Linked DNA regions of Oryzias latipes. Each later gene encodes a partner of the first gene's protein in a complex. Links are inferred from orthologs where the notes say so. Each region holds a gene or a part of one and is shown on either strand. Other genes may lie near its edges.

Evidence for each region.
Region 2: pold2 (region 1) and pold4 share a complex: the UniProt entries of both Homo sapiens proteins name them as parts of the tetrameric DNA polymerase delta complex. The link is inferred for Oryzias latipes from reciprocal best matches to the Homo sapiens genes POLD2 and POLD4.

Annotation. Positions count from the first base shown.
Region 1 is NC_019867.2:18,720,079-18,725,865, reverse strand, and holds the start of pold2 (DNA polymerase delta subunit 2), read left to right. Parts: upstream 1-2,096; 5' UTR 2,097-2,220; intron 2,221-2,361; 5' UTR 2,362-2,368; coding exon 2,369-2,594; intron 2,595-2,671; coding exon 2,672-2,793; intron 2,794-2,879; coding exon 2,880-3,003; intron 3,004-3,072; coding exon 3,073-3,187; intron 3,188-3,260; coding exon 3,261-3,459; intron 3,460-3,578; coding exon 3,579-3,659; intron 3,660-5,787. Other genes in the region: nono (non-POU domain-containing octamer-binding protein), read right to left, coding at 337-1,653. UniProt on the Homo sapiens protein: Accessory component of both the DNA polymerase delta complex and the DNA polymerase zeta complex.
Region 2 is NC_019859.2:1,162,835-1,168,358, reverse strand, and holds pold4 (DNA polymerase delta subunit 4), read left to right. Parts: upstream 1-1,919; 5' UTR 1,920-2,053; intron 2,054-3,310; 5' UTR 3,311-3,378; coding exon 3,379-3,484; intron 3,485-3,909; coding exon 3,910-3,993; intron 3,994-4,267; coding exon 4,268-4,379; intron 4,380-4,703; coding exon 4,704-4,728; 3' UTR 4,729-4,865; downstream 4,866-5,524. UniProt on the Homo sapiens protein: As a component of the tetrameric DNA polymerase delta complex (Pol-delta4), plays a role in high fidelity genome replication and repair.

The sequences.
Region 1 (5,787 bases):
AATCTGTTTTGCCTGGATCAATGAAGGTTGGATAAATAAATCATAAGTTTATTATAATGAGACAATGTTTTTTTTAAGGAATCATGACTTTATTCCAGAAAAGTTGACATATTTAGGACAAAGAAACATTTTCCATCTCTATCTAGTGAATGTAAGAAACAATTGAAAATGCATGGCTCATTTGGAGTTATGACATATTAGTACTAAAATAAAATGAAAAGGACAAATAAAAACGGTAGAAAAAAAAACACATGCACATTTCAAAGTCCAAAAGTAACACTTTCTACCCAAAATGGAAAATTACAGTGAGCATAGTAAGACAAGGGAAGAAGCTCTTCAAAATCTCCGCTGCTTGTTATAGTCTCCAGGCCCCGGAAGGCCTCGGGGGAAGCCGCTCTGTCCTCCTACAGGCATGTTGTTTGCTGGACCTGCCATCATCGGAGCGCTATCTGTAGCCATAGCAGCAGCATTGGCAGGTCCAGAATTCCCACCTAGGGAATTTCTGTTCATGCCCAACCCGTGACCACCCATGTGCATCATCATATCTTGTTCTCTGTTTTCAGAAAAGTTGGTTCTGAAACCCTCCTGCTGCCTCTTCATCATCTCCTCGTTGCGCATCCTCATCTCCTCCTCCCTCCGCCGGCGTTCCTCCTCCTGCCGGAGCTCCGCTTGCTTCCTCTTCTGCACCTCTTGGTTGTGGAGCTCTTCCATCCGGCGCAGCTCCTCCTGCCGCCTCAGCAGGTCTTGCCTCATCAGCATCACTTGATGCTCGTGTCTGGCTGCCTCCATCTCAGCCTCCAGCTTCTCTTGAGCTTCTTTCATGTTGCGGTCCACCATCTCGTACTGCTGCTTCTCCATCTCCATCAGGGCTTTCCAACGCATTGCATATTCATACTCAAAGGAGCCCGGCTGAGCAAAACGCGGTGGCTGCTCCCGTTCTTTGTGATACTGTTGGTTCTTGTTGATCAACTTCTCGGTCAGTCCTTCATCTTCGTCGAACTGTTCCATGGGCTCCACTGTAATGGGTCGGGGGAAGGCTGTGAGAAGATAGGCACCATCATTGCATTTATCCAGAGCCTTCCTGGCTGCGGGCTTTGAGGTGAACTCGACGATGCCTTTCCCCGTGGGCCTCCCCCTGTCATCCACAATCACCACCGCCCTCTCCACCTGCCCGAAAATAGCGAAAGCTTCTTCCAGGAGATCGTTGGAGGCAAACTCTGGTAAATTCTTTACACTCAAAGCGGCACCGTGCGTAGCAAACTTGACTCGGATAGGTCTGCCCCTGAATACATGATCATCCAGCTCGGCTCTGGCGATCTCAGCTATGATCCTGGTTTCCAGGCGGATGAAGCCGAAGCCTCTTTCTTTGTTAATAAAAATCTCACTGGCTTTACCATACTTTGCAAACAGCTTCTCCAGGTCATCTTCTGTGACGCCTGTGGGTAGGTTTCCCACAAACAGCCTGCTCCGCTGTGTGAAGGTCTTTTCTCCGGGTTTCCTGAAGCTCTGCAGGTCCATGGTTAAGGCCGCGTTGGGGTTGGTCTGCTCGCTGGTCTCCGGCTGTTGGCCATTGCTATTAGGTCCTTCGGTTTTGAAGTATTCCCCCTGGCGGTTGTGGCCGTGGTTATGCTGAGGGCCTCTGTTTCCTTGCATTATTTGACAAAGAAGTCAAAAAATCTGGTAAAGTGTGCTTTGAAAAGCAGTACAAGGGGCTAACAATGTCGTACAAAGAGTAACAAAAATGGCGACACGGTGCGCTGCTCTGACGGTTGTGTGACGTCACATGTAGGCGACATCTACTTAAAATTTCCTGACGGCATCTTTGTAAGACGATTTCTCTTAGAGTTTAAACCCCTGGCTCATTTTTATTTCTATTCTTATTCTTCTGTTTGTTAAATATGTGTATTTGATATTTGCAGTTGTGTTTTTATTGCATACCTAAAAGTATATCCTTGTAAAATGGCATATTGTGCAATAAAGTTTATTTAAAAAAATATTTGTAAAACGATTACATTCACGTTTTCTTTTAAAATGTTATTTTCATACCGTTTTTTAAACAAACAAGCAAACAAATAAACAATCAAAAACATTAATTAGATAAACGATATGCTGGAAAGACATAACTAACGTCTCGCGAGACTTCCCGATAAAAGCTTTAGCGGGCTATTCCGCGGGAACTGCGCTTTTTCTTAAAACATCTAAAAGGACTTCCCGTTTAAGGTATTGTTGTTCTACTTTTGTTATTTGTAGGGAAATGAGTCAGTGACATAATATGTTGTTGCTGTAAAGGGGGACGCTGAATCTTAAACATTCAACTGGTTAACAAGGATTTTAATGTTCCTTTACTTAATTCCTTTAAAGGAAAACCATGTTTTCTGACGTGAGCGCCCAGAAGAATGGCCCCTCTCTTCTCTGCAGCCCTGCCTCTGAGGAGCAGGGCCCTACCTTCGAAAGGATATCACTACCCTACGAGTTGTACTCCGATCGTTACAGAGTTGGTCAGAGGAGCTTTAGTCGTCAGTATGCTCACATTTATGCAGCAAGACTCATGCAGATGAGGCCCCTGCTGGCAGAGAGAGCTCAGCAGAAGTGGGGTGAGTTCATCATGTTAGCATGCCAGTTTAACCATCACTTGATTATCCAATACTTCTTTCCCCCTCTTCTCTGTCAGGATCTAATGTTCTTATCAAGAAACTGTGCGACCTAGAACCGGGGGAGCAGTGTTGTATTGTGGGGACCTTGTTCAAGCGAATGGAGCTGCAGCCATCCATCCTGAAGGAAATCAGTGAAGAGGTTAGGAGTCTGGTCTTTTTTGGATAAACAAAGCCACGTTTGATCTGTTCCTTTCATTTTAAAGATCCTGGACGTCTGTTTTTCAGCACAATCTGCTGCCTCAGCCTGCACGAGCCAAATACATCAGTGAAGCAGATGAGCTGATTTTAGAGGATGAACTCCAGAGGATCAAGTTGGAGGGCAAATTTGATAAAGATAAGTGTGTCACAGGTCAGTGTAATTGATGATATTTGATACTTTAATAAATTCTTTATGTTAAAAAAAAGTTGCCCCTCTTAGGTAGTGTCGTTGCAATATATGGAGCTGAAAAGAACGATGGCAAGTTCACCGTTGAGGACTTTTGCATGGCTGATCTTCCTTTACAGACACCAAGACCTGCGCTCAGCTCAGACAGGTGAGCTCAGGTGTGCACAGGTAAACCTTTGCAGTTAAGGGTTGCAGCTCATTAAAGCTTTGTCTTGGCACAGGTTTGTCCTCCTGGCTTCAGGACTCGGGTTAGGGGGCCACAATGCTGACAGCATGCTGGGGCTGCAGTTGCTGGTTGACATGGTCACCGGTCAGCTTGGAGACACAGGCGAACAAAGCGGCGCAGCAGCAATTTCCCGGGTTCTGTTGGCTGGAAACCTCCTGAGCCAAAACACCCAGGATAAAGACGCATCAACAAAGGTCATCCCCCCTGACATGCAACCACTTGACTTTCCTTATCATCTTTGTCCTTATTTTGGATAAGTTGACTTTTTGAACTTTACTTTTAACTATCAAATGCCTTTTTTTTCCTGTTTCAGGCCAAGTACCTCACAAAGAAGACCCAGGCTGGCAGTGTGGAAGCCATCCGTGTTCTTGATGAGCTGCTGCTTCAGCTGGTGGTGAGCCGGCTGTGTAAAAGTCATCTAAGATTAAACTATTACCAACGATAACTATAATATAGCAGGACGCATTTTGTTGTTTGCCAGGTCTTTGTTTTATGGGTTTACTTTGGCACCATTCAAACTCTTTTTTTGTTTTGTTTTATTTTCTTCTTTTATTTTGAAAAAATACCCAAAAATTAGAAAATTAAAATAAAGAGTAAAACATAAAAGAGAATAAGCATTTATGTATTCTTCTAGTTTAAATTCACTTTATTGCAAAGTTAAATAAACTATCAGCTGTGACAAACTCGTGACCAGAAATCAGAAATTCAAATCAATACATTTCACAAATGTTGACCTGTTTAATCAAAGCAGAAGGAAAAATAGTACATAAGTAAATAAAATGTCACATTTCTTCTAAAACATTTGATGAGTTTGTTTGCTATGTTTAAACTACTTTCCATGAAACCGACTGTTATAAACAGAATCAATAAACTTATCGTTTAAATTGTTGTCATGAAATACCTGCCAAAACCTGGTTTTATTTACTTTTTATCTTAATTTCTTTTATCTGCTGCAGTTCTGCATGTCACAAGGGTGACATGCAGAACTGCAGCAACTATAGAGGAATAAAGTTGATGAGCCACACAATGAAGCTGTGGGAAAGAGTAGTGGAAGCCAGGCTTAGGAAGAAGGTGGAGATTTGTGAGCAGCAGTATGGTTTCATGCCCCGTAAGAGCACCACTGATGCCATTTTTGCTTTGAGAATGTTGATGGAAAAGTACAGAGAAGGTCAGAAGGAGCTGCATTGTGTGTTCGTAGATTTAGAGAAGGCGTATGACAGGGTGCCGAGGGAGGAGCTGTGGTACTGTATGAGGTCGTCTGGAGTGGCAGAGAAGTATGTCAGAGTAGTTCAGGACATGTATGAGAGAAGTATGACGGTGGTGAGATGTGCTGTAGGTCAGACAGAGGAGTTCAAGGTGGAGGTGGGACTACACCAAGGATCAGCTTTGAGTCCTTTTTTGTTTGCTATGCTGATGGACAGGCTGACAGACGAGGTAAGACAGGAATCTCCCTGGACAATGATGTTTGCGGATGAAATTGTAATTTGCAGTGAGAGTAGAGAGCAGGTGGAGGAACAGCTAGAGAGGTGGAGGTTTGCTCTGGAAAGAAGAGGCATGAAGGTCAGTCGTAGTAAGACAGAATACATGTGTCTGAACGAGAGGGATCAAGGTAGAAGTGTTAGGTTACAGGGGGCTGAGGTGAAGAAGGTGCAGGAGTTTAAGTACTTGGGGTCAACAGTTCAGTGTGATGGGGATTGTGGAAAAGAGGTGAAGAGGCGAGTGCAGGCAGGTTGGAGCGGTTGGAGGAAAGTGTCAGGAGTGTTGTGTGACAGAAGAGTGCCAGCAAGACTCAAAGGAAAGGTGTACAAGACAGTGGTGAGACCAGCTCTGCTCTATGGGTTAGAGACGGTAGCAGTGAGACAGAGACAAGAGGCTGAGATGGAGGTAGCAGAGATGAAGATGTTGAGGTTCTCCTTAGGAGTGACCAGGTTAGACAGGATAAGGAACGAGTACATCAGAGGGACGGCTCACGTTGCCTGTGTTAGCGACAAAGTCAGAGAAGCCAGACTGAGATGGTTTGGACATGTTCAGAGGAGGGATAGTGGATATATTGGTAGAAGGATGTTGGAGATGGAGCTGCCTGGCCGGAGGGCAAGAGGACGGCCAAAGAGGAGATATATGGATGTCTTAACAGAGGACATGAAGTTGGCTAACGTTAGGGTAGAAGATGTTCATGATAGAGTGAGGTGGAAAAGGATGATTCGCTGTGGCGACCCCTGATGGGAAAAGCCGAAAGAGAAAGATCTTAATTTCTTTTATCTGTTACAAAGTGTCTCCTTTACCAACAATCACGTCATCTGCTTTGGTCACATCCTTTTTTTTTTTTACTTTATGAAACGGTATTATTTCCTGAAAACAGAGATATTTTGCCAGTCACTGAAACAATTTATTTAAACAATTTTTAGACAGCAATAATAAAACTAAATAAAGTCAACTTTATTTAGAAAGTGCTTAACAACGCTGGGTAAAAACAAAACAACAAACAAAAACAAACAGCATAAAATCAATAAATTAAACAAAAA
Region 2 (5,524 bases), on another chromosome or scaffold:
GATTCCTCTGTTTAGTATTTACTGTTTATTGGCGCTCGTCTGCCACCTACAACAGGAAGAGGCTCTGTGCACCAAGTCAACGGTGCAAACCCCGTGAATCAGATGTTTGGTTTTCACGGCTCTGTTCCCATGAATGTCCGGTCTTGGTGTCAAATTAATACGGTCGCAGTTGTTAACGTCTCCTTCATGATCACGTTGGCAACGCTTCATGCTCTCGTGTTTGGAAGTGGACGCCACCCACACGTCACTAAATCAGAGTCCCCGATTGGTCACAGAGCTACAGAGCTGCATCGCTGCGTTCAGCATGAAAAAGTTCAACCAGTTGAACCGTCAGCGCCACCAATGAACGCCGGTTTGTGCGCAGAGCTCGCCACTGGACTTTAAAACGTACACAGCAACGCGCGATCACCAGCGTTCCGGACGCAGGAACCTGGAATTCTGGTCTAGACTGGGGGAGGAGCCGGTGCACGCCGGACACGGCTGCAACATGTCCTTAACGTGTTTCTGAAAGGAATGAGACCTCTGTCCGTGCTTCAGGAGGATCTAGAGACGTGATTGGGGGGCTGTGCCCTGGAGACCACCTAAGTCATTTACTGTAGAATATTTTACTGTCCAATAAAGTGAAACCATGTTCATAAAAATATTGCTCTTACTATTTGTATGGGAAGGTTAGACGTGATGTAGTGCAGGGATCATCAAGTTAGCAGCTGTTAGGACTTTTTTGTGCTACGGCTCACCTGAGACCTTTAACGTTTGATCTTTTATGAGGAGAAACTGAAATCCATGAACTGTACATGTCAAATTTCTGTGAACCCAGCTCACGCATACATACCAGTACCATGCCAGACAAAAGCTGATGTGAACTATGCGAGTGGCGCTCGCGGACCCCCCAGCGAGGGTGTGAGGAAGCAGCAGCAGCAGCAGCAGCTGATGTTCTCCAAGTCTGACATTTCACAGCCGCATCAGGGATTCCAAAGGGAACCGTCAAGTTCCTCTCTGAGCCTTTACCTCCACATACAAGTTTTTTTAATGGCATGTTGTTGTTTTTCCACCAGAACCAAACTGTCCTCACCGTGTCGAGGCTTTATTGCATCACTACACGCACACAATCCCCGAAACACAAACGCACATCCAGACGGATCACATGGAAGTGTTCTGACATGGAAAATGGGAGATTAATGGACAGACACATCAGAGGAGAACCAATCAAACTGCTTTTTATTGATTTTGACATTCAGGACCAGAGAAGTAGAGAAAGAGGAAACCGGCGGCGGTCCCCCCGGCGGCGTCCTTCCAGGCAGCCATCATTAGGGGTTGACCTCCAGCCACATTCCCACCGTCTTCGCTGTAGAGTCTTTTACTAAGGGCAGACCGCAGAGATCACGCCGCTGCATCGTCCTCCTGGGTCTGTAAGTTAATGGGCCTCTACAGGAAGACGGCGTGTCTTCTGTTCACTGATGGATGGATTGAGGTTTGAGAGAAGTTTGCTGCTTTTTGCCAGACTTCGTTTGTTTTTTAAGTGTGAGTGCATCTTCTAATGGCATATTATTGTTTAAGTGCATCTCTGTCATCTTTGACCCGCTGAGGCATTTCAAAGTGCTTCACAAAACCCCATAAGCTTTGCACCACACCCAAAAATTCTATAAAAGTCATTTTTACTAAACTGCAGGGACAGCAACCGGCTAAAGGCAGACTTTGCAGCTTTCAAACAGTTTCTGAGGACTGTAACATGTCTACGAAGAAGAAAAAATTATCTTTAAAAATTCAAGATAAAATTTTATATAGATAATAACTCCTGATGTGTTTTTATTGGTTCGTTTCATGTCATTTCGTTTCATTCTTGCATCAGACCGTTTGCGTCAGTGTGGTAAACTGCTGTTCAACAGTCGCCGGCAGGGGGCAGCAGAGGCGCGCGGCGCTCCAACTGGTCAGAAACACGAAGAAGAGCGCGCGCCGTGGCCGTCATTGTTTTGGTCCTCCGCCCTGCTGCTTTCTGCAAATCTGTTAAAGAGGAATAAATATTCACGGAAATCTTTTTGTTCTCCAAAATCAGGTGAGTTCATTTCGTATTTGTTCGGTTTTCTGAGCACTCTGTTGGCGCAGGCGCACTACAGTACCGTGTTTAGTCAAAAGTGAAAGCATATTATTTTCCTGCAGATTTCATCATAAAAACATTTAGTTTTTAAAATGAAATATATTTGGGACATTAAGGTCTGATAATGTTTCATAGATAACTGCGGTTAAGGTGTAATTACGTGTTTAGACTGTCCGTAAAGCTGTAATAAAGGCTCGAGCAGGTAAAGGGGCGTGGCTTCAGACTACATTCCACTTTTGAAAAAAGTCAAACTTGTTTTATTAGAAAAACTTTTACGAAAACCTTATAATAAACGTAGGGAGATGTAATAAGTCCTCATGCATAAGCAGACAGACTCCATCAAACTTTAAATCATCAGGAATTTCTGTTTGTTTGATTTTTATCTTTGATTAAAAAATAAGAAATTCCTAAATGTGTTTGAGTTCAACGAACATCACCTACTGAGTTTTCCTCCATAGCAGCATTTTAAAATGTCGTTCAGAGCAGCAGGATCACAAAGATGAACTGGATCCTAGAAGAAAATACAGATGACTGCATGTTTTTGGTTAATTTGTCTTCATTTTTGTGCTTTTCTGACCAACTTTAACCTGTTAATTCTAAAAGGAGAACAATTTAAATCACTTTAGGTGCAACCTTTGTGAAGAGGAGCCAGATTTATGCTGCTTTCTCAGCAGCCATACTATAATAAATGCAAATGAGTATTTTCATGTCTTCACAGAGAACAGATCTAAATATGTTTTTACCTAAATGACTGTGAATGTTTATGAATGTTTATATTTGAAGACCAGAGATGAAAAAGTCTGTCTGGAAAATTTTGGTCAACATTAAATCTGAATTTCTATGAAATGTTACAAACGATTCACTATTTCCAACATAAGTCACATGAATCTAAGTTATTCAGAAGTTCAAATCATTTTGGTTTAGATCTCAGAAACAATAAATCTCCTCGTTTGGCTCTGAAGCTCAAGCAGCTGCAGGTTGTTGGTTTTAACCAATCAAAATCCAGAAATCCTCAACCTTAGAAAGTTCTGAAGATTTTTATTGATTTAATGACAGGAGCCTGCAGAACGGGCTGCATATGGCGCTTGGTCCGGACTTTGGACATGCCTGCTGTAGACCGTTCTGTCCTGCTTCTGGAGGAATCATAAAGAAACTGATTGTGCAATAATTCTGTGAGATGAGGTATTACTCAAATGGACGAGTAATCTGTTACAGGTAGAGTAACTTGCAGGACGCTGTCATCGTCTCTGTCTGCAGCTGCATCATCGGTACAGCCGGTCACCATGACAACCAAGCGGGGACTCATCACTGACTCCTTCAAGGTGGTGAAGAAAAAGAAGAGAGAAAGGAAGCAGGAGAAGAGCCCCACGCCGCCCCCCCCTCGGACAGGTGGGGATCCTCCGGGTGTCCGCTGATGTGCGCGCCGTGCACGAGCCACGCGGCGTGCACGAGCCACGCGGCGTGCACGAGCCACGCGGCGTGCACGAGCCACGCGGTCACAGAAAGGTCACCTGAGGTCACAGAAAGGTCACCTGAGGTCACAGAAAGGTTACAGGAGGTCACAGAAAGGTCACCCCGGGTCACTGAAAGGTTACAGAAGGTCAAGAGTCCCATGAAAAGTGTCTCCTCCTCTGTCAGAGGGCTGTAAAAACGTGTTCTGTTTCTCTGAGTACAAAAACAGACGAGTATTGAAGAGACAAACTGTAAATGACATAGAAATAGAATCTTTACAGACATAATTATAAAGAGACATTAAAAAATAAATTCTACCTTTCAGGACTTTTTTGTTTGAAATCCGTTTTCTGCTTTTGCAGAAAATGTTGCAGACACCGTCCAGCAGGAGGCGCTGCAGAAGCTCAGAGACTTCGACTTGGAATTGAGATTTGGGCCGTGCACAGGTATGGAAGCAGATGGGGGGGCACGCCTTCAGTTTGCAGCTGGAGCAGCACTGGGGGGGTGGGGGGGTGGGGGGGTCTGGTTGATCTATAGGAAGCAGATCTAAACGTGTCTGCCGGACTTTGCTCCAGCCTCTAGAGATCACAGGAATGCTTTCATGTTAAATAATTAAACCTACTTTCCTCACATTTGACCTGAAATGGGAAGAAAAGAGACGGTTTTGGGGGAGCATCTCCTCTTGGAGGGAGGAGTGCAGCTTTCCTTCTCTGTTTTCAGGGATCAGTCGTCTGCAGAGGTGGGAGAGAGCAGAGCTGCACGGCCTGGACCCCCCCGAGGAGATCAGGGAGCTGCTGCTGAAAGCCCCCGCCGACCCCGAGTACAGCCTGAGGTGACACGTCCTGAAAAAACACACACTGTCCTACTGTTACGGCCAGCTCGTCTGCAGGCGGGTCACAGGAGTCCGGGTCACAGGAGTCCGGGTCTCAGGAGTCCTGGCAGAACCGCAGCGGCTCCTGAAGATGATCAGGAAGAAAATGCTTCTAAATGTTGAAATCCGGCTTTTCCACGTTCAAATAATGCAGACTTTCTCTAAAAAACGGAGATGATGCACTAAAAACTCTGACATCAGGGATGATTTTTAAAACTCTTTAATCTCAGACACAGATTTTTATCTTCTTTAAAAACTCTGACTCTTCATCTCCTTTATTTTCAGCCTGTGGAGCGAATATCCTTTGTGAGTCTGGAGGAGGAGGAGCCAAAGCCTGCAAAGTTCCACCTTTTTACGCCGTTTATCATCATAATGATCATGTTTCTGCATCACAACACGTTCTGTTTTTATGGACCGGTTCTGTTTTATTAAACAGGTTCTGCTGATTCTCTGGCTGCCTATGTTGTTGGGGGGGGGGGGGGGGGGGGGGGGGGGGGGGCTCTTCAGGTAATGTCACCTGCTGAATGTTTGGTATTAGAATCTGGAGGTGGGCAATAACACACAGATCCAAGCACCGTGTGATGGAAGCCACGGGCTCCACTCACTGACACACTTTTAGACTTTTTATAGCCGACCCAAATTTCTTTTTTTTTTTTAATCGGTTCGTCTATTTTAGGATCAAGTCTGAGGAAATGGACCCAAAGCCACTTCCTGCATTCTTAACTGTTATATTTTATGATGATCAGAAAAAAATATCAATTACTAAAATCCTAACCCAAAAAAGTGAATAACATTGTTTATATGGTATATTTATCGTTAGGAACGCTGTGTCATTTATTTATTCTGCAACATTTCCATGTTTTCTTTAAGTCCCGCCTCCAGAGCTCTCTGATTGGTTGCTGAATGCGTCACGCTCTCACCTCGGACACTGATTGGTTGTCATGGCTGTCACTCGAACAACTGAACGCGCTGACAGCCAGAGGCGGGCTCCGACCCCCAAAAGGAGCCTACTGATGCTTTATGGGCGGGGCTTCGCACGCGGAGTTTACATTCCGTGTCCTCTCATTGGTCAATTCAGTCTGCGCTAATCGCGTCTGCTACTGAGC